Linked DNA regions of Pelodiscus sinensis. The protein of the gene in region 1 purifies or fractionates together with the protein of each later gene. This does not show direct contact. Links are inferred from orthologs where the notes say so. Each region holds a gene or a part of one and is shown in the gene's direction. Other genes may lie near its edges. The genes, in order: EYA2 and ACAD9.

Evidence for each region.
Region 2: the proteins of EYA2 (region 1) and ACAD9 purify together in Homo sapiens (affinity purification with mass spectrometry; 3 studies listed by BioGRID and IntAct, with this or other methods). This does not show direct contact. The link is inferred for Pelodiscus sinensis from reciprocal best matches to the Homo sapiens genes EYA2 and ACAD9.

What each region holds. Positions count from the first base shown.
Region 1 is NC_134728.1:22,269,272-22,278,213, reverse strand, and holds the start of EYA2 (protein phosphatase EYA2), read left to right. Parts: upstream 1-5,329; 5' UTR 5,330-5,350; intron 5,351-5,407; exon of another isoform or gene 5,408-5,583; intron 5,584-5,722; exon of another isoform or gene 5,723-6,099; intron 6,100-6,112; exon of another isoform or gene 6,113-6,391; intron 6,392-8,942. UniProt on the Homo sapiens protein: Functions both as protein phosphatase and as transcriptional coactivator for SIX1, and probably also for SIX2, SIX4 and SIX5.
Region 2 is NC_134721.1:48,473,236-48,481,996, reverse strand, and holds the start of ACAD9 (complex I assembly factor ACAD9, mitochondrial), read left to right. Parts: upstream 1-5,307; 5' UTR 5,308-5,366; coding exon 5,367-5,492; intron 5,493-8,051; coding exon 8,052-8,145; intron 8,146-8,761. UniProt on the Homo sapiens protein: As part of the MCIA complex, primarily participates in the assembly of the mitochondrial complex I and therefore plays a role in oxidative phosphorylation.

The sequences.
Region 1 (8,942 bases):
ACTTAAGTGTTCTGCTTCATTGAGGCCAATCTGAGGCTACTTGGGTGCTTAAAGTTAAGTATGTGCTTATTACTCCTTTTTGGATCAGGCACAGCATGTTCTGTTCCTTGTAAGGCTGAGTCCTAGTAGTCTGGGGGCAAATTAAAAACAAAAAAACAAAAACAAAAAACTATGTTTCTCTCTATAACAAGTAAGGATTAGGGTAACGTTGGTCTTGTGCAGCTTGTGAAATCTTTGTGGTAGGATGCCTCACCCTTGGTTTATAAAGCAAATGTAAATGAAAGGTGTTATATAATGAACAATAATCATTCCAAATATTTAGTTCTGGGGAGACAAATATTACAGCAGTCCAGGAGATAATTGTTATGAGACCATAGTGTCACTAGCTCTTGCTATTTAATACCAAGTATCATGTAATTTGGAGTTTTTCTTATACCCTTCACTCCTAGAATCATATTTTTAGCTAATAATCACATCTTTCATGGGGAATGAGGAAGGAGGAAGTTGTTGGCCTTCATCATTGCAAAAAAAAGTTTAAAAAACCCTAAAGACTCAAATACAAGAAGACAAAAAGGACTCTAAACTTTTTATTTTTGAAATCTCATAATTTCTAAGCCAATGATTGGGGTTTTGCTCATAATTATTGGATGCTTAGGATTGGCAATACTGGATCATATCCTATCACATACTTCTCTACCCCGACTGGAATCCGTGCAACTTCCCACATGTCTAGGTAGGTTTCAGGAGTTGGTTTAAAGTCATAATTGAAGCTAAAAAGTGCTGCTAAGTTACGCTTAACTTTTCCCCCTTTGTCGCCTGGATTGATATACTGGGGAAACATTTGTTTTCCCTGATGTAACAGTTTTCATTCCTTGCCTCTTGGGGTGAATACTAGAGCTGGTTGGGGAATGTTCCCTTGGAATAATTTTCTGACAGAAAAAACAGTTTGCACAAAACTTGAATTTTCTGCTCCAGCTCCCCAGCAGCTTGACCTGGGAGGCTGCAGAGGATCTGGGGCTGCCAACTCTTCAGTAGTCCACATGACAAAATGCCGTAGAAGTGGGGTTCCTAAGACTCTATGGGCAGTTAGGCCCTCAGCTGGCCAGCTCCCTGGGATGCTTGCCTGGCAGCTGAGTGAACTATCCAGTGTTCCTGGCTGTACAACTAGCTTGCCAGCAGGACAGCCAGGGAGCCAGAAGAAAATATTTAAAAAATTCCCTTGTAGGTTTTCTGAATCTGTTCCCTACCCCCACCCCCAGATATTGCTGTTGCATGGGAAATTTTGCACTTATGATTTATTCCAATTCTTTTTTTTTTCTTTTCAGAAATACAAGTTTCCCATGGGATGAAAATTCTGGATCCTGCTCAGCTCTCGTGGATATACTTCACTCTTCCACTTGCATTTTTGGGCAATAGTTTTATCTTTTCAGTGTCTAGAAGTCACAGGACCAGCTCTGAATCGAATGACACCACCCTTCTGGAAATACATAAGAATCCTAAGGCCCAGGGCAATGAATTAAGTGGTTTCTGGAAATTTTACATAGCTACACATAGCTATAACAGTGAAACAAAGCAGCAGGTACGGTTCCATATTTCCCAGAGTTAGGCAGAACGTTAATCCATTTTGAATAACAAATCTAGTAAATAGTAAAATCTATGAATGACTAACCAGAGTCCATGTCACTGTTACATTCACGCCCTAGTTGTAGAGAACAGTTTTGCTTGTGCTTAGGATCTTATGGTCTTGATTCTTTTCCCACATGAAGGTAAAGTAGACAGTTCTCTCTCTCAGGTGTCTGAGGAGAAAATTGTATGCCTTTAACGGAAAGCATCCTTCTGGGAGCATTAGCCAGATGGCCCTTCAACTGTCTCAGCTGTAAGAACATAAAAAACGCTATCTAGTAATTGGACATATAGATTCTGAACTGTTATTAATTCACATATGTCTGCACAACATCCATTTGTTATTTAATCCACAGAGACAGCATGCACTATTGGAATAAGCACAAGGCTGGGAGTTAGGAAATCCCAATTTTTAATCCTGATTTGTTCTGTAACCTATCACAAATGATTTCACCTCTTTTTGCCTCAGATTCTCCAGCCATAAAATGGAAATAATGAAACTTTTTTTTCTGACTTAAGTGCTATAAGATCTCCAGATGAAAAGTGATATAAAAAGCTATATATCAAAATGGCTCAAAATATTTTGAATTATGAAAATGAATTCCCCCCCTTCAAAACTTCTCTACTAAACATATTACTAAAGTACTTCAGATAAATCAACATGCTACTATATAGAGCTGTTTGCCCATCCGCTCATAACAAGTGTTTCAGACCACAATTAATAATTGCTTTGCCTGTAAACTCTTTGGTGGGCAGGGACTGCCTTTTTATTCTGAATTTGTACAGCACCTAGCATAACAGATGTATGACCGAGCGTCCTTGGGCACTAATACAAATAATAATAATAAAGCTAGGCATGTGCCTGGCTTTAAGTACATGAGTAAACTTACTGGCTACGTCTAGACTGGCATGATTTTCCACAAATGCTTTTAACGGAAAACTTTTCCGTTAAAAGCATTTGCGGAAAAGAGCGTCTAGATTGGCACGGACGCTTTTCCGCAAAAGCATTTTTTGCGGAAAAGCGTCCATGCCAATCTAGATTCGCTTTTGCTCAAAATAAATCTGAGCTGTCTACACTGGCCCTTTTGCGCAAAAGCTTTGCGCAAAATGGACTTTTGCCCGAATGGGAGCAGCATAGTATTTCCACAAGAAGCACTGATTTCAGACAGTAGGAAGTCAGTGTTCTTGCAGAAATTCAAGCGGACAGTGTAGACAGCTGGCAAGTTTTTCCAGCTGCTTTTGCGGAAAAACTTGCCAATCTAGACATAGCCACTGAGTTCAATATGATTGATCATGTGCATAACATTGTGCAGCCACTAACATACTTAATTAAATGAGGAGCTGAGTTAATTTTGTATATAAGACATTTTAAAGTACCATTCCATATTTACCTACTTGGTAAATAGCCGAGTTAAGAGGGCAATCAGGTTATTGGAGGAAGGAGAAAGTGTTGTAGAGACTAACCCTGAAAGACATAGTTAATTCTGGATAGCCTGTGGACCAGTCATTGAGTCAGAATTCTGGGCGGGTGAAAAGAATCAGAGAAAGGATAATCCGGGCTAGTGATTTAGGCTAATTTAACACGAGTGACATGAATTCAGAACTGCAGCAAATCCTTGAGTTAGTTCTGTGAACTTATGGAGAAGAGTGAGAGTAACAACTGAAAGAGTTTTGGTTTTGGGGGCTATGGAAGGCAGTTCATGTTAGGAACTCTTCTAGCTCCATACTGATGCAGGACTCTAGATTTCTTTTGAAATGTCGGAATACTTTGCAGTCAGGCTGATCCAAAGGATTTTAGTAAAAACAGCTGTCTAGTAGTAGTGATGTTTTTGTTCCATTGTCAAATGAGTAAAATCCATGAGTGTATTAATATGTGTGGAAGAGACTGTCTGTATGTGTGAGAATGTGGGGTAGATGGTATGTACTCGGCGGCGGATATAGGGCAGGGCGAGTGAGGCAGCTGCCCCAGGCCCTGTGCTTCAATAGGCCCCGTGTCCTGAGCCTCGCAAAACTCATCCGCCCCTGTATGTACTTATGCACGTCTCCCCACGCATATAAGTACAAATCAGTAATGTGTATGTACTGAGAGGATCAGAATGCATCTGTGTTATCTCGTGGTTTTGTTGTGTATATATGGGACATGTATGAGTGTTTCTAATTGTTTGTGTGACTCATGTATCAAGCTACCCTGTATTGCGGTGGGTTGACTCTCCTAACAGAAGAAATTATAGGCTTTCCCTATCTGAAGGGGCTGCTTGGGGTGGTGCATACATCTTCTGCACTGTGAAAAACTCTGTTGCTGGCACATCCGTGATCACAGTAGGACAACTCAGGTGAATCACGTTACTCATGTAAGTGTTTTCAGGGTCAGGCCCTAGCATGTCAATACAGCTGGGCTAAAGCCGAAATAAGCTACGCAACTTCAGCTATGTCAATTGCGTAGCTTAAGTTGAAATAGCTTATTTAGGCTTTTGGTGCTGTCTACGCAGCAGAAAGTCTAAGGAAGAGCACTCTTTCTCCAACTTCTCATCCTCCTTGTAAAATGAGAGTTGCAGGAGTTGGAGCAAGAAGTCCTCCAGCTGGACATTATTTCAATATTATGTTGAAATAATTGCTTGTAGTGTAGACACAGACTATGTTATTTTGAAATAACGTCAGTGAAGTAGCATGTATAAGAGCAAACTGCCACAAAAACAATTGTTTTACTGTAGTGGAAACCAACTTCTATGAAGAAGTTTTGATATTTGGACATCCACTTTGAAACCAGTTACCTCATCAATCTCTTTTGTTGACAATTTAAATGGCTATTTATATCAATTGATAGCTACTTATTTATCTTAATAAAACCAACAAAAGCATGCTATACTATTATGCATTTCTAAATGATGGAAAACATATATTGGTTTTTGTTATGTTTTGTCACATTTTGTAAAGGTCCTTCTTTAGCCAAACAACGTTTTATAATAGGAGGCAAGTTTGACAACAGCAGCAGAAGCATTATGAATTCAGAAGAGGGAAATAATAGGCTAAACAATTGTCAGTAAAATCAAAATAAATACAATCAAGAATGATAATTAAGAGGAATGCAGAGTAATATGAAAGACAATTAAGAGTAAAAATATATTCTATATATTAGCAGACACATTTGCACAATGTACATGGAACAACCCTGTGTATCTCACCCTATGAAAACTTCTTGACGGCACCATGAAATCATTATTGGGGTAACAGCTCTTGAGTGCTGCCAACTTTGGTGGCTTTTTTTATGGCAAGAAGTTGTCATATTTGGTGATTTACCTCTGATCTTAGCTTTTGGATACAAGCAATTGATTCCCTGAGGCGCTCAGAATTCTCTCTCCGAATTCTCTCTCTTTTCTAACACTCGTGTGGGAGGAGAAGGGTCACATTTTCAAGCCTAAGTGCGCCCTACAGGCTCCAAGCTAGCAGGCAAGCGACAATAAATCCCCAAATATTGTTTTTATGGTGATTTTTTTCAACCCCTCTCATGATTTTATGGGGGTGTTGGTTATTAAGTCTGGCTCCAACTTTTACTTCACTCTAGGGACCACGCCTGCCCCCCGCATCCTTTGCTCCAGTACTGCAGAGGCGCACCAGAGCGCTGCAATCCCCTGCTAGTTCTGTGACACCGCTGTCTAACACCTGCCCTTCCGTCTCCCCAGCAGCCCTGCGCTCCGGGGTCGCTCGAGGACTCCTGGCGGGGGAGAAGGTAAGGGCAGAGGCGTCACTCTCCCAGCGGGCATGTGCACACACACTCCGCACATGCTCACTGGGGCTGTGTCAGGAGTTTGGAGGGCACATTGGGAAACCAGGCAGAGGCTGCTCTTACACCGGCTCTGGAGTTCCCAGCCGCGCAGCAGCTGCCCCGGCCTCCCTCCCCTGGCGGGCGCTGCGGGGACAGGAAGCTGAGAGCCCCGGGGCGAACACCGTCCGTAGCCGGTGGTGAGTGCGCCCCCTTTCCCTGCCAGTGCGCTGGCCCCGGGGTGGAACGGAGAGGGGCATTGGGGAGCTCTGGGCACCGGCCCTTGCTCGGGGCGGGGAGAGGCCAGGGATGCTTTAGGCACGGCTCCCCACGCCCTTGTCCAGGCTGCTGCCTAAGGGACATGTGCCCAGCGGGCACTACGCACCGGGTTTGGGCGCTGGGATGAAATACCCAGCTCCGGTCCTTCCCATGCTGCCGCCTTCTGTTTCTTAGGGCTGGGGAGCGGGGCGTGGGGAGCCCGGCCAGTGCATCTCCCCAGACCAATACCCCCAACCTGCCCCATCGCAGGGAAGGAAGAGGAAACTGTCACACTCGACCGCATGGTCGTGGCACACGCTCCTTGTCTCCTCGCAGGAGCCGCGCTTGGAAAAAATTCTTCCCTCCACTTCCTAAAAGCAGAGACTTGCCCGCGGCGTGCCTGGGTCGCTGCGGTATTTCTCCCTGCCCTTGCCCACCCCGGCGAGGGGCAGCAGCCGGTAGGAGAATCGGTGGCATTTTACACTGGTTAAGCAGTTAACAGAAAATCAAACTCATGAGCATGGAAATGACGCTGTTTGTTTGCTCAGTCCTCGTATGGTTTTGGAGCAGTTTGCAAAAGGCAGGGAGGGTGAGTCGAACGAGACTGAGCAGGGGGGTTAAATAGTGTTGATAAGAGTAGGAAGGGAGTTCTTTGTGGGTGAAATCTTCCTTGGTGACACTAGTTCGCTCATGGGGCTGGAAGCGGGAGAGCGGAGTATTGAATTAATGTTAAGCCTCATGCCATTGTGGGTAGGTGAATATTGATTCTGCTTTCTCAGTTTTCTGTGAACACATGGGGTAATTTTAAAAACAATGAGTAGTCCTGTGGCACCTTAGAAACTAACAGAGGTATAGGACCATGAGCATTCGTGGGTAAAACCCACTTTCATCAGATGAGCTGGAGTGGAATATTTGTTTGCTATAAGTCGATAATGGTGTGATTTACCCTATGCATCAGTAGTTTTGAATCATGTGGGAAAAGAGTGTGACTGTGTGTGGACAGACAGTAAAACTTAGTATACAAAAGTAGAGATTTTTCCTTCACTAAAGAGCAATTTGATACGTTTTTCATTTCCATTCTAAAGTACCAGTTATTTGTCCATAATAATGCTTAAGATGCAAGTACTTCTATTTATACTTCCACTCTGCAAATGCTCTGGCTATTTTTTATTCTGTAAGTGTAATTGCATTCTTATTTTGGGTTCATTGGCATACATTTAAAGTAGGGTGATAACTTATTTCAGATTTAAGGCTCCCTATTACAGCAATACAGAACACAAGATAATGCATTGTTTTGTTTTGGAGACATTTCACTCATGCTAGGAAGCAGTTTGAACAGAGACAAGACCATTAAAAGAACATCAAAATAAAGTAATTAGAAATTACTGCAATGTGAAGTTGTAAAATGTTAGCTTAGGCTTGATGTACTGAATACCTTCGTGCCCAAAAAAAAGTAACCTAAAAAATGTCAGAAAACTGTATTGCAAAAACATTGTCATCAATTCTGCAATGGCTTTTTAAATGTAGTACTGGAGCATAAGATTTAACGTTTTATATCTGGAATTAGTTTAAATTAGTTAACTGGCGTTTTTAAGAAACACTATGCAAGGCATTTAACTAGTGTAAAACAAGTTTATTTACAAACCACAACTAAGTAACTTAATTATAGACTTAAATAAAATTAAGTAATACAAAATCTTTGTTCTCAGTGAACAGAGGGGGAAAACCTTTAGTGTGATTTATACGCTTAAACACAGCTTGTTGAATTCAGAGAATGCTGCTAAATGAAATTATTTCAGGTATACAGCCGCTGTATTTCAAATTACTAATCTATTGATTTAATATGTTCCTCTTGGATGAAATTTTTAATTGTTAAAACACATGGTTAATTAAACTTTTATTGGTCTACATCCAATTTATTAAAAACTGTTTTGTTTGGTAGAGTATCAGACATGCATATTCCTTAACACTCCTAATGTAACTGGACAAAATGGTTTAATTGTTCAGACTTAATAGAATTTGCTGGTTGGTTTACTGAGAATTTTCCTCTTTTGGAATGCTTTTAATGGAGTATTTTGTCATTCATAGTTTCCAAATACACCGAGGACTTCTATTTTCATGTGACACTGCAATTCATATGTATTGGACATTTTTGAACGTTCTTGCATGCTGAGCCCAAGAAGATAGCAGATATTTAACCTGTTTGTTTGTTTCCAAAGTAAAAACAGCTTAAAGGGCGCTAAGATGTTAGATTTAAAAATCTAGGACAGGCTGATTCTTTTTCTGGGCCATCTTGCACCATCACTTTTTAAAGACAAATAATTTCCATTTCTGCTTAACAATTGATGGCCCATAATATTGTAAGTGTGATTATGAGAGACTTCAAGATGGTTGTCCTACAGAGTTGTAAGTATTTGTAGCATTGAATATGTTCCAATATCATCTTTCAAAAATCACATTTGAAATTCATTTGGAGAGGCGTATTACAGCCAATAACCCTGATGATTGTTTTTTAACAAACTACTCTCCAAAATCCAAAAAAAGCCAGAAAAATCCTCTCAAAAGAGTACTTCATGATTTTATCTTAAATAATAAAATTAATTAAAATCAAATTGTTCATGTGACAGATTTATTCAAATAAACAACAGCAGGTTATAAATTTATCTATTAAACATTATCATTTGTATTCCCTCACCACCATTTTGTTTTTAAATATTTCAGTGAGACTAGATCCCCATGACTTGCTAATTATAAGACCATAATTTGGTTGAAAGGGTCTAAATGCGCTATTGTTTAAAAAATGTCACAACCTTTGTCATTTTAAATTTCATTATAAGAGAGCTTCATTTAGGAGGAATAAAATGTTAGTTGGAGAGAAACTCTAAGAATCTATACTAAGTTACAACACGAGCAGACATTACTATTATACAGACGTGTTAAATTCAGACATGCACTATGGTAACAAGGCACATTGAAGTATTGACAAATTTATGCTTGGTGTTACTGAATTGTGCTTAGATAACTGTGATGGACACTTAGTTTTTGCTAAAGAACAAATGACTTAAAATAGGTATAATTCCCGCAAACATGAATGGACTTATTTCATTTTAAGCACGAGTAGTCCTGTTGACTACAATGGGACTGACTACTCATGCTTAAAGTTAAGAACGTGCCTGTTTTGTAGGGCCTTTGTGTGTTTATAGACAAAACACATTTTAAACAGAAATCTGTTAAACAGATTTCCATAATTCTCTGCCGCCTTCTCAGCTATTTGTCATGCAGTGGTACAGCACTTAATCTG
Region 2 (8,761 bases), on another chromosome or scaffold:
CAGAAGGAAATGGGGGGGATGGGAAGGAAGCAGAAAGGGGGCAAATACACAAAACCCAAATATGGATGAATTTATCTTCAGTACTCCTACTTCTAGTTTCATTTAGAATCCTTTGGCATACACAGCACTATTATGAAGTGTGAGTTAAGATTTTTTTTAAATAACATTTTTGGGTTTGTGCGTAGAGAAAAGGGGAGTTTTCAATCTCATCCAAATATATCATTGAAATAAAATTTCCATCCCAAAATAAAACACAGGAAGCCAAATTCTGTGTTGCTTACTTAGGCAAAGCTCCTGTTGACTTCAGTGGAAAGACTGAGGGATAAGGCCCATCATTAATGTTGCAAAATCTCAGTTCCTGATGAGGTCTCCAATCCAAATAATATTAGAATTAAGGGTACATTTGGTACCTATTGTTATGCCCAAAACGACATCTCAAAAACAGTTGCCCTGTGCAGTGAAGTACTAAGACCTAGTCAACTGGAAGGTTTCATTATTTTTAGCAAGTTTGGGTCCTTTAATTACTCAACTTTTGGGAAGCAAATGCTGTTTTTACTTAGCATTGTCACCATAACTCAAATGTGAAATTCGCTGCATGGTTTGGAAGACATGTCAGCCAAATGAAATAAATCAATTTGCCAGAGTAGGGTAAGAGAGAGAGAAAACTGATTAGCTGTGCAATAGGGTAACTTACACAGCAACTTCAGTTTTCATTTGATTCCTTCCTTATAGAGGTAGTGATTTTAACTGAAGTAGATAATACACAAAGAAAGACTCTGTCTGGTATTCCTCAATGTGAATTAATTTCTTCTAATGCTAATGAAGTTTTTATGCATTTTGAACAGTGGGAAAATATTTCATATCTACAACTACTCATTATTGCTGCAAAATAAGACTTTAATGCATGTTTGGCAAAGAAGTGTAAAACGCTTTTTATCTGAAGCAACAGCACGAGCAATCAATATGCAGCTGCTTCAATCACAACAGACCAGAAGAATCAGGTAATTAATTCATTCCTATTATAAAGTAGCTTTGAATGAAGACGTAATGCACCATTACCCAGCAACACAGACATGCACTATTACCCAGTAACAATCTGGTTACATGCACCATTACCCAGACATGCACTGTTACCCAGTAACACTGGTTTTGCGCACCGTTACCTAGACATGCACTGTTACTCTGAAACACATTGGCTATGGCCTATCAACCCCACTTTCCTATCTCATATGCCAAAAGCAGATAGGAATGATAAAGAAGAAAACATAGCTTATACAATATTTCCCTGTTATTTTCCATCTCATATATATTTGTAAATGACAGAGTATACTCCAGGCCTCAGGAACACTAAGATCCGGATAGCTTTTAGCCTGCATCTTTTAACAAGTGGATTGTTTGAAGTTGCTATGGCTTGAATTGAAATTTTACTTTCTCTAAACTAAATTAAAAAAAAACTGCTTGCAAACTTCACATATGTTCTTAAAACATTCAACTCCACACTAAACAAATAAATAACACTGGCTACTGAATACTGGCCTTAGTTGATGAGTTATGGTGTCATTTCCTTATAATGTTGATATCACTTATTTTTCTGTACTAACAATGATCTTCCATTCTCCTTTCTGTCCTCTCCTTTTCTTTCTTACTTTAGCCTTATCTACCACTACAGACTTAAAAGCAATGGCTTGGTTTTGATCTTGTTTACACAAGTTTTATACCTATGTCATTCCACTGCCTTCAGTGAGGTTACTCCTGACTTACGCCAGTGTGAAATCACTAGCATGGATGAAATCTTGACTCAATGGTAGTGAGTAGAAGTCCAGCTTTCACCCCAAGGTTTTCAAGACACCTGCTTTGCCACAAAGCTCCTTCCTTATGTGCTTCCCTTCCTTATGTGTGGAAATTCTACCATAGTGGTGTCTTGTTGCTTTATTACTGCGAATGTAACAGAATTGTTCAAAACACAAACATTTGAAAACACCAGCTTCTCTTCAAGCAATGACAAATTCAGGGCCAGGTTCAGGAGTGCCTTTAAGTTGCTGAAGTGTTGTCCAGAATAATGATACTTTTCTGATTTGTGGCTGGTGCATATAAGCACAGGTGGGTTGACCTTGGCTGAAATGAGCCATTCCCAGAAAGCTACAGCACTTCAGATTCTTACCGGGACCCTAAATCCTGTATTATCTTCATATTTATGTAAAAAAGAATAGCTATAGAAAGTGAAATCCCTTACCCTGAAAAAACTTAAAAAACAGCCAATAGCCCTGCAGCACCTTGGGATATGTCTACACTACAGAGTTTTTTCAGAAAAATCGCAGATTTTCTGAAAAAACTTCAATTATGTCCATACTGCAATCACATTTTTTCAAAAAAAAATTGAAAGAACTGAGGGTTTTTTCCAACATTGGTAAACCTCTTTCTACGAGGAAGAAACCTTTTTCCGAAAGAGATCATTCAGAAAAAAGCATGTGTGGACGGGGAAGAGGGAGTTCTTTCACCAGAAGATGAAAGAGGAAAAAACACAGGCTTCCTGCTGGCCATTCCTCCCATAGTAATCACAGGTTACACATGAGAGAGCGTCCATTCAGTATGCTTGTTATCTTTCGAAAAGCAGATCACTTTTTCGATGCGCTTTGGCAATGTGGATGCTTTCCTTCGGAAGAATTTTTTTCGGAAGATCTCTTCCAGAAAAGCTTCTTCCAAAAGAAGCCTGCAGTCTAGACATAGCCTTAGAGACTAACAAAAATTGTAGATGGCATCATGAGCTTTTGTGGGTACAACCCACTTCTTCAGATGAATGGAGTAAAGGAGTCCGGGTTGCAAATAAATAGCAAAAAAAGAGGGGATGGGGACGGAAAGAGAAGAGGAAAAAATGGAGAAAAAAAGTTGTCAATTCTCATAGACTCGTAGGGTATGTCTACACTACGGCGCTAATTCGAACTAACTTAGTTCGAATTAGTTAATTCGAACTAAGCTAATTCGAACTAACGGATCCAGACTAAAAACTAGTTCGAATTAGCGTTTTGCTAATTCGAACTAGCATGTCCACATTAAGTGGACCCTGAACCGGGGTTAAGGATGGCCGGAAGCAGTGCCGGCAGGGCATCAGATGAGGACTTAGAGCGTGGAGCTGCTGCCTCAGGCTAGCCAAGGGCTGTGCTTAAAGGGACCCGACCCCCACCCCGGACTTGCAAAGCAGTCCTGGCTTGGATTGCCCGGAGTACCCACACTGGGCACATCACAGCACTCGGCCATCAGCCTGGCTGCACTTGCCGCAGGTAGCCATCTGGGGAGAGGGGGCAATTGGGGGGCTGCAGGAGAGCTTCCACCCCCAGAAGCCCGCAGAGCCAGCCCAGTCCTCCCCATCGGGGGCTCGTACCCCATTCCTCCCTCACCTCCTTCCACTTACCCTTCCTTAGCCCCCCTTCCTGATGTACAAAATAAAGGACACGTGTGGTCAAAAATAGAATCTCTCTTTATTGAACAAAACTCAGGAAGACTGGGAAAAGGAGGTGGGAGAGGGGAAGAGAGAGGGTAGGAGAGGGGAGGGCAACTAAAATGATCAGAGGTTTGGAACAGGTCCCATATGAAGAGAGGCTAAAGAGACTGGGACTTTTCAATTTAGAAAAGAGGAGACTGAGGGGGGATAGGGTAGAGGTCTATAAACGCATGAGTGGGGTGGAGAGGGTGCATCAAGAAAAGTTCTTCATTAGTTCCCATAAAGAAGGACTAGAGGACACCAAAGGAAAGGAATGGGTAGCAGGCTTCAAACTAGTAACAGAAAGTTGTTCTTCACAAAGCAAAGAGTCAACCTGTGGAACTCCTTGCTGCAGGAGGCTGTGAAGGCTAGAACTAGAACAGAGTTTAAAGAGAAGTGAGATAAAGTGATGGAGGTCATAGATTTCAAGTTAAAAGTTTTCTAACATCTATCACATCACTTTTTCTTCTTAATAATTACTTTAAGGTGAGGAGAGACTACTTAAGCAAAAAAAGAGAGAATGTTGTATCTTTTTTCCTGAAAGCCAGTGCAAAATGACATCAAGATTATAGGATAGAGTGACCTTAAATGGGGTGCCAAAACTGAGAGTTGTGGCAAACGCAGGGCTGGAGCATATAAACTTCCATTTTCAGTTTGGGGCTGCACGTCCAGAAAAAGATCAGCATTTCAGGTATGGGACTGAAATGGGGCAGTTGCTCTGTTCTGGTTTATAAGGGATTTTAAAAAAAACTGTGGGAGAGGGCTGTCTTAGAAGCCAACTGGAAGGAGGTTTGATGCAGCCAATCACAGCCCAGCTGGGCTGTATAAAAGGGCTGCTATGCAGTGAGTGTTTATCTTTGCTCTAGTTCTGGAGGAAGAGGGACCAAGCAGCCTAGTAGGGGTACTTTGAACAGGGCATACCTAGGGTTGTCAGGTGTCTAGTTTTGAACTGGACAGTCCAATATTTGAGCTTTCTGTTTGGGAAACAAATTGAGAAAATATAAACGTCTGGTATTTTCTAAATAAGATGTCATGTAGATTGCGATGTCATTAAGTGTGTCCTGTACTTTCATTGAAACCATCGGGCAACCAGCCCTAAGCAGCACTGGGGAAAGGCAGAGCGAGACAAGACAACTGGGCTGTGTCTACACTGGCATGAATTTCCGGAACTGCTTAAAACGGAATACTATTCCGTTTTCAGTTTTTCCGGAAAAGGAGCGTCTACATTGGCAGGCTGCTTTTCTGGAAAAGCCCTTTTTCCGGAAAAGCGTCTGTGGCCAATGTAGACGCGCTTTTCCGGAAAAGAGCCCCGATCGCCATTTTCGCGATCGGGGCTTTTTTCTGGAAAAGACTACTGGGCTGTCTACACTGGCCCTTTTCCGGAACAGTGCTCTGGAATAAGGACTTATGCCCGAGCGGGAGCAGAATAGTTTTTCCGGAATAGCGGCTGATTTTGTACAGTAGAGCGTCGTTGCTTTTCCGGAAATTCAAGCAGCCAGTGCAGACAGCTCGCAGCTTATTCCGGAAAAGCGGCTGATTTTCCGGAATAAGTGGCCCAGTGTCGACACAGCCCTGGGATCTGATCACCCCGGGGCAGAGCCACAGGGGCCAGAGGGGTGGTGGGGCTGCAGAGAGCAGGCCCAGGGCAGCTGTGCCCAGGCTCAGGGCGGGACGGGCACAGAAGGCAGCTAAGGGACAGGCAGGCGGCGGCCAGCAGGGGGCGCGGATGGGCTCAGCAGGGAGCCGTTTGGCGCAGGAGACCCGCTTCAGGCTCCGTCGGCCGCCTGTGGTCAGGTGACCCGCCGGACACGTCATCAGCGTGCGCCCCGGACGACGTTTGTGGGCGCCGGGCCGCGGCGGGGGGGGGGTGTCTCAGCACCGTCCGGACATGAGCGGCCTCAGCCTCCTGCTGCGGGCGGCGCGCGCCGCCTTCCCCGCCGGGGCTCGGCAGCTGCGCACTGGCGGCCCCCGCTGCGCCTACGCCAAGGAGCTTTTCCTCGGGAAGCTCTGGAAGGTGAGGCCGGACTTCCGCCCCTCCCCCCCCCCCGTGTGTGCCCAGCCTCTGGGGAGCCTCCCCCGGGCCTCGCCTCCCTCCCCTCCCCGCACTGCCTGGGCCAGGCCGCTGGGGCGCTCCCCTCCCCTCCCCTCCCCGCACTGCCTGGGCCAGGCCGCTGGGGCGCTCCCCTCCCCTCCCCTCCCCGCACTGCCTGGGCCAGGCCTCTGGGGCGCTCCCCTCCCCTCCCCTCCCCGCACTGCCTGGGCCAGGCCGCTGGGGCGCTCCCCTCCCCTCCCCTCCCCGCACTGCCTGGGCCAGGCCTCTGGGGCGCTCCCCTCCCCTCCCCTCCCCGCACTGCCTGGGCCAGGCCGCTGGGGCGCTCCCCTCCCCTCCCCTCCCCGCACTGCCTGGGCCAGGCCTCTGGGGCGCTCCCCTCCCCTCCCCGCCCCGCTACAGGACGCTCCGGAGCGAAGCTGCTGCTTGGTGGGCGGGCTCTTAAAACGCGTTTATGGGAGGACAAACATGTCACCGCTGAATCTCTTCCGTGTTTACACACACATGGGGGGGGGGGGGGGGATCCACTGAGCTGCCGCCTCCGTCCATCTGCACGTGTCTTTCCCGCCTCTGGGTCGCTGCCAGGGCTGCCAGGTGCCTGGCTTTGAACCCGACACTCCAGTATTTGAGCTTCCTCGTCTGGGAAACAAATTGGGAAAATAGAAACGTATCTTCTAAATCACGTGTCATGCACGTTGCGATTTAATGTCAGGTGCGTCCAGTATTTTTGTTGAAACCGTCTGGCAACCCTAATCCCTGAGGTCGTCCACAGGGACGCCAATTCGTTCCGTCTGAATTCAGAGTCTTTCACAATTTCATCCTGGTTTATATCTGTGCCCTGGTCTTAAATCTGTTACCATATTTTTTTCTTCACCTGTGCTACAGTGTTCATAGTTTCCTTAGATTGGCACCTCTGTGCAATTGACTGGGGCTTCCCCTTTTATATGGAACTTTCTCCCCAGTTTAATTTGCCATCCTACCTGCCTTTCTTCATCTGTGTCCTTCATAAAAAAAAGCAGTTCTGTAATGGGATTTATAAGGAATGAGTTTATATGTAAAAAGAAAAAAAAAAAGCAAAGTGGAGGTCGCCTTTTACCAGTGAAATATTCCATATGCTTTTATTATGTCATGTAAATTGTAATATTATGAAATTTGGGACTCTATTCTTTTGTTTATAGTCTGCAATTTATAGTGTCAAGAATAGTTTAGAGCAGGGCTGGAGGATCTTTTTCCTGTCAGAGGCCAGTGACCCACAGAAAAAATCAACATGGAGGGGTGGGGGGAGACTTGGGTCTTCCCACTGCAGCAGGGTGATCAGGTTCTCATAGCTCCAGCCCCATGGAGGCCTGGGGTCAAAAACAAGGGGCTCAGGGTGTGAGAGTGGGGCTCGGGGCTGGAGCAGAAGGTTGTGTTGTGGGCAGGACATAGCGTATAGAAGGGGGTTCCAATCTGGAGTAGAGGGTTGGGGTCTAGATGCAGAGTCTCAGAGGGAGGTGGTGGGGTGCAGGAGAGGATTCCATTTTGCGACTTGGGTAGACTGGAGGTTCCCTTCTCCTGTTTTAGATGCTTAGCAAATAGTAGAGCAGTATCTTTTTACAGGTTGAAATCATTCTGAAATTTGAGTTTCTTTCCTATAGAAACTTAAACAATGAATGGTCCAGTAGCAGCTTAGAGACAAACCAGAAATATAGATAGTATAGTATGATGAGCTTTTGTGGGCACAACCCACTCCATCTGATGATATGATCTTTTATTTTTTTGGTTAGTGTCTAAGCTTCTACAGGACCATTCATTGTTTTTTTTTTTTAATTACAGACTAACACAACTATCCCTCTGAGACTTTTTTCCTATAGAAGTTATCCTGTATTCTATGGAGATTGTGCAAGGTCCAAAGATCCTGGATTCTGTACTGCTGAGTTATCACATTTGGGTGTACAACCATGCTTTGCACTTCAATTTTTGTTCGTTTCAATTGTTAGGAAACAAGTTGTGTAAGGATTTTTTTAAATTATTATTTATATATAAATAAAAAATAAATTACTCTCCGATGTATGTAAAGGAGGATTTTTGTATGGTCACTTTCAGTTCCACATTTCAGTGAACTGTTGGACAGGCAGCAACAGAGGCACATGTTAAACTTTTGATTGTTTGTTAATAGTTGTGTGCCTTTGGGGATGAAAGCAGTGCACTTGTTCATAGCTCACTTCACCTGTTGGCGCACTTCCTTACATATCAAATTTTTTTTCTTCATTCCAGTTTTTCATTTTCAGATGCTGTTTCTGGTTTGTTTCAGCATGCAATATAATTGAAAAATACTGTTTTCCATACAGAACAAGTATCTTTCACTTACTGAAAGTTGTAAATAAGTTTGCTCACTTGAGACTATCTGAATTCCTGTAAACATTTTCTGCTCTTTTGGGTTTTTTTTTTTTAAGACATCATCATCTAAAAGCCATGTGTTTTTTCTTGAACCTGCTCTTTATTTTAAATAAACTTAATCATATTAAAAAACTGACATTTTAGGAGGAAGTTTTCCCTTATCCAGAGATTTCTAATGAAGAATTAGAAGAAATCAACCAGTTTGTAGGACCAGTAGAAAAGTTCTTCAATGAAGAAGGTATGGTTATTATCTTTTTTTCTACATAAATGGCTTCTTATTACTATAATTAAAATAAAAAAACTTTTGGGCATTTATCGTGACTTGTGTATACAGTGACTGTGTCCCCTTGCATTGTCAATTTCTCTTTTTGTGGTTTGTGCAAAGAGAAAAGTGAAATAGAAGAATAATTTATAAAAGCACACATTGAAAGGAGAGATCTGGGGCAGATGTAAGAAGTGAAACTGCTTCTTTAAATTTTTCCATTTAAAAGTTCCTTTCACTGTCCTGTAATTTATAAGCCTCTGACTTTGCTCATCTTTCCAACCAAATTCAATGGAGGCTAGCACAAAAAGAGAATATTTCAGAATCTAAGAGCATATACAACTATGTTCTGCAATCTTAACTAGAGCAGTAGTTCTGGTTTGAAATATTCAGGTATCACCACTTGGAACTAAAACTTCTGCCAGTGAAACCTTCCAGATCATTCCTCTTGTATGCAGTCAGGGAAAGATCACTGAGGATCTCTGCCTCGTCAGCTGGATGAGTATTTCAGCTTCTGAGAATCTCTCTCCTTACAGAAATCTCTTCAGTTTTATTTGCTTTGAGGAGTGCTCACTACTTACTCTGTAAGAAA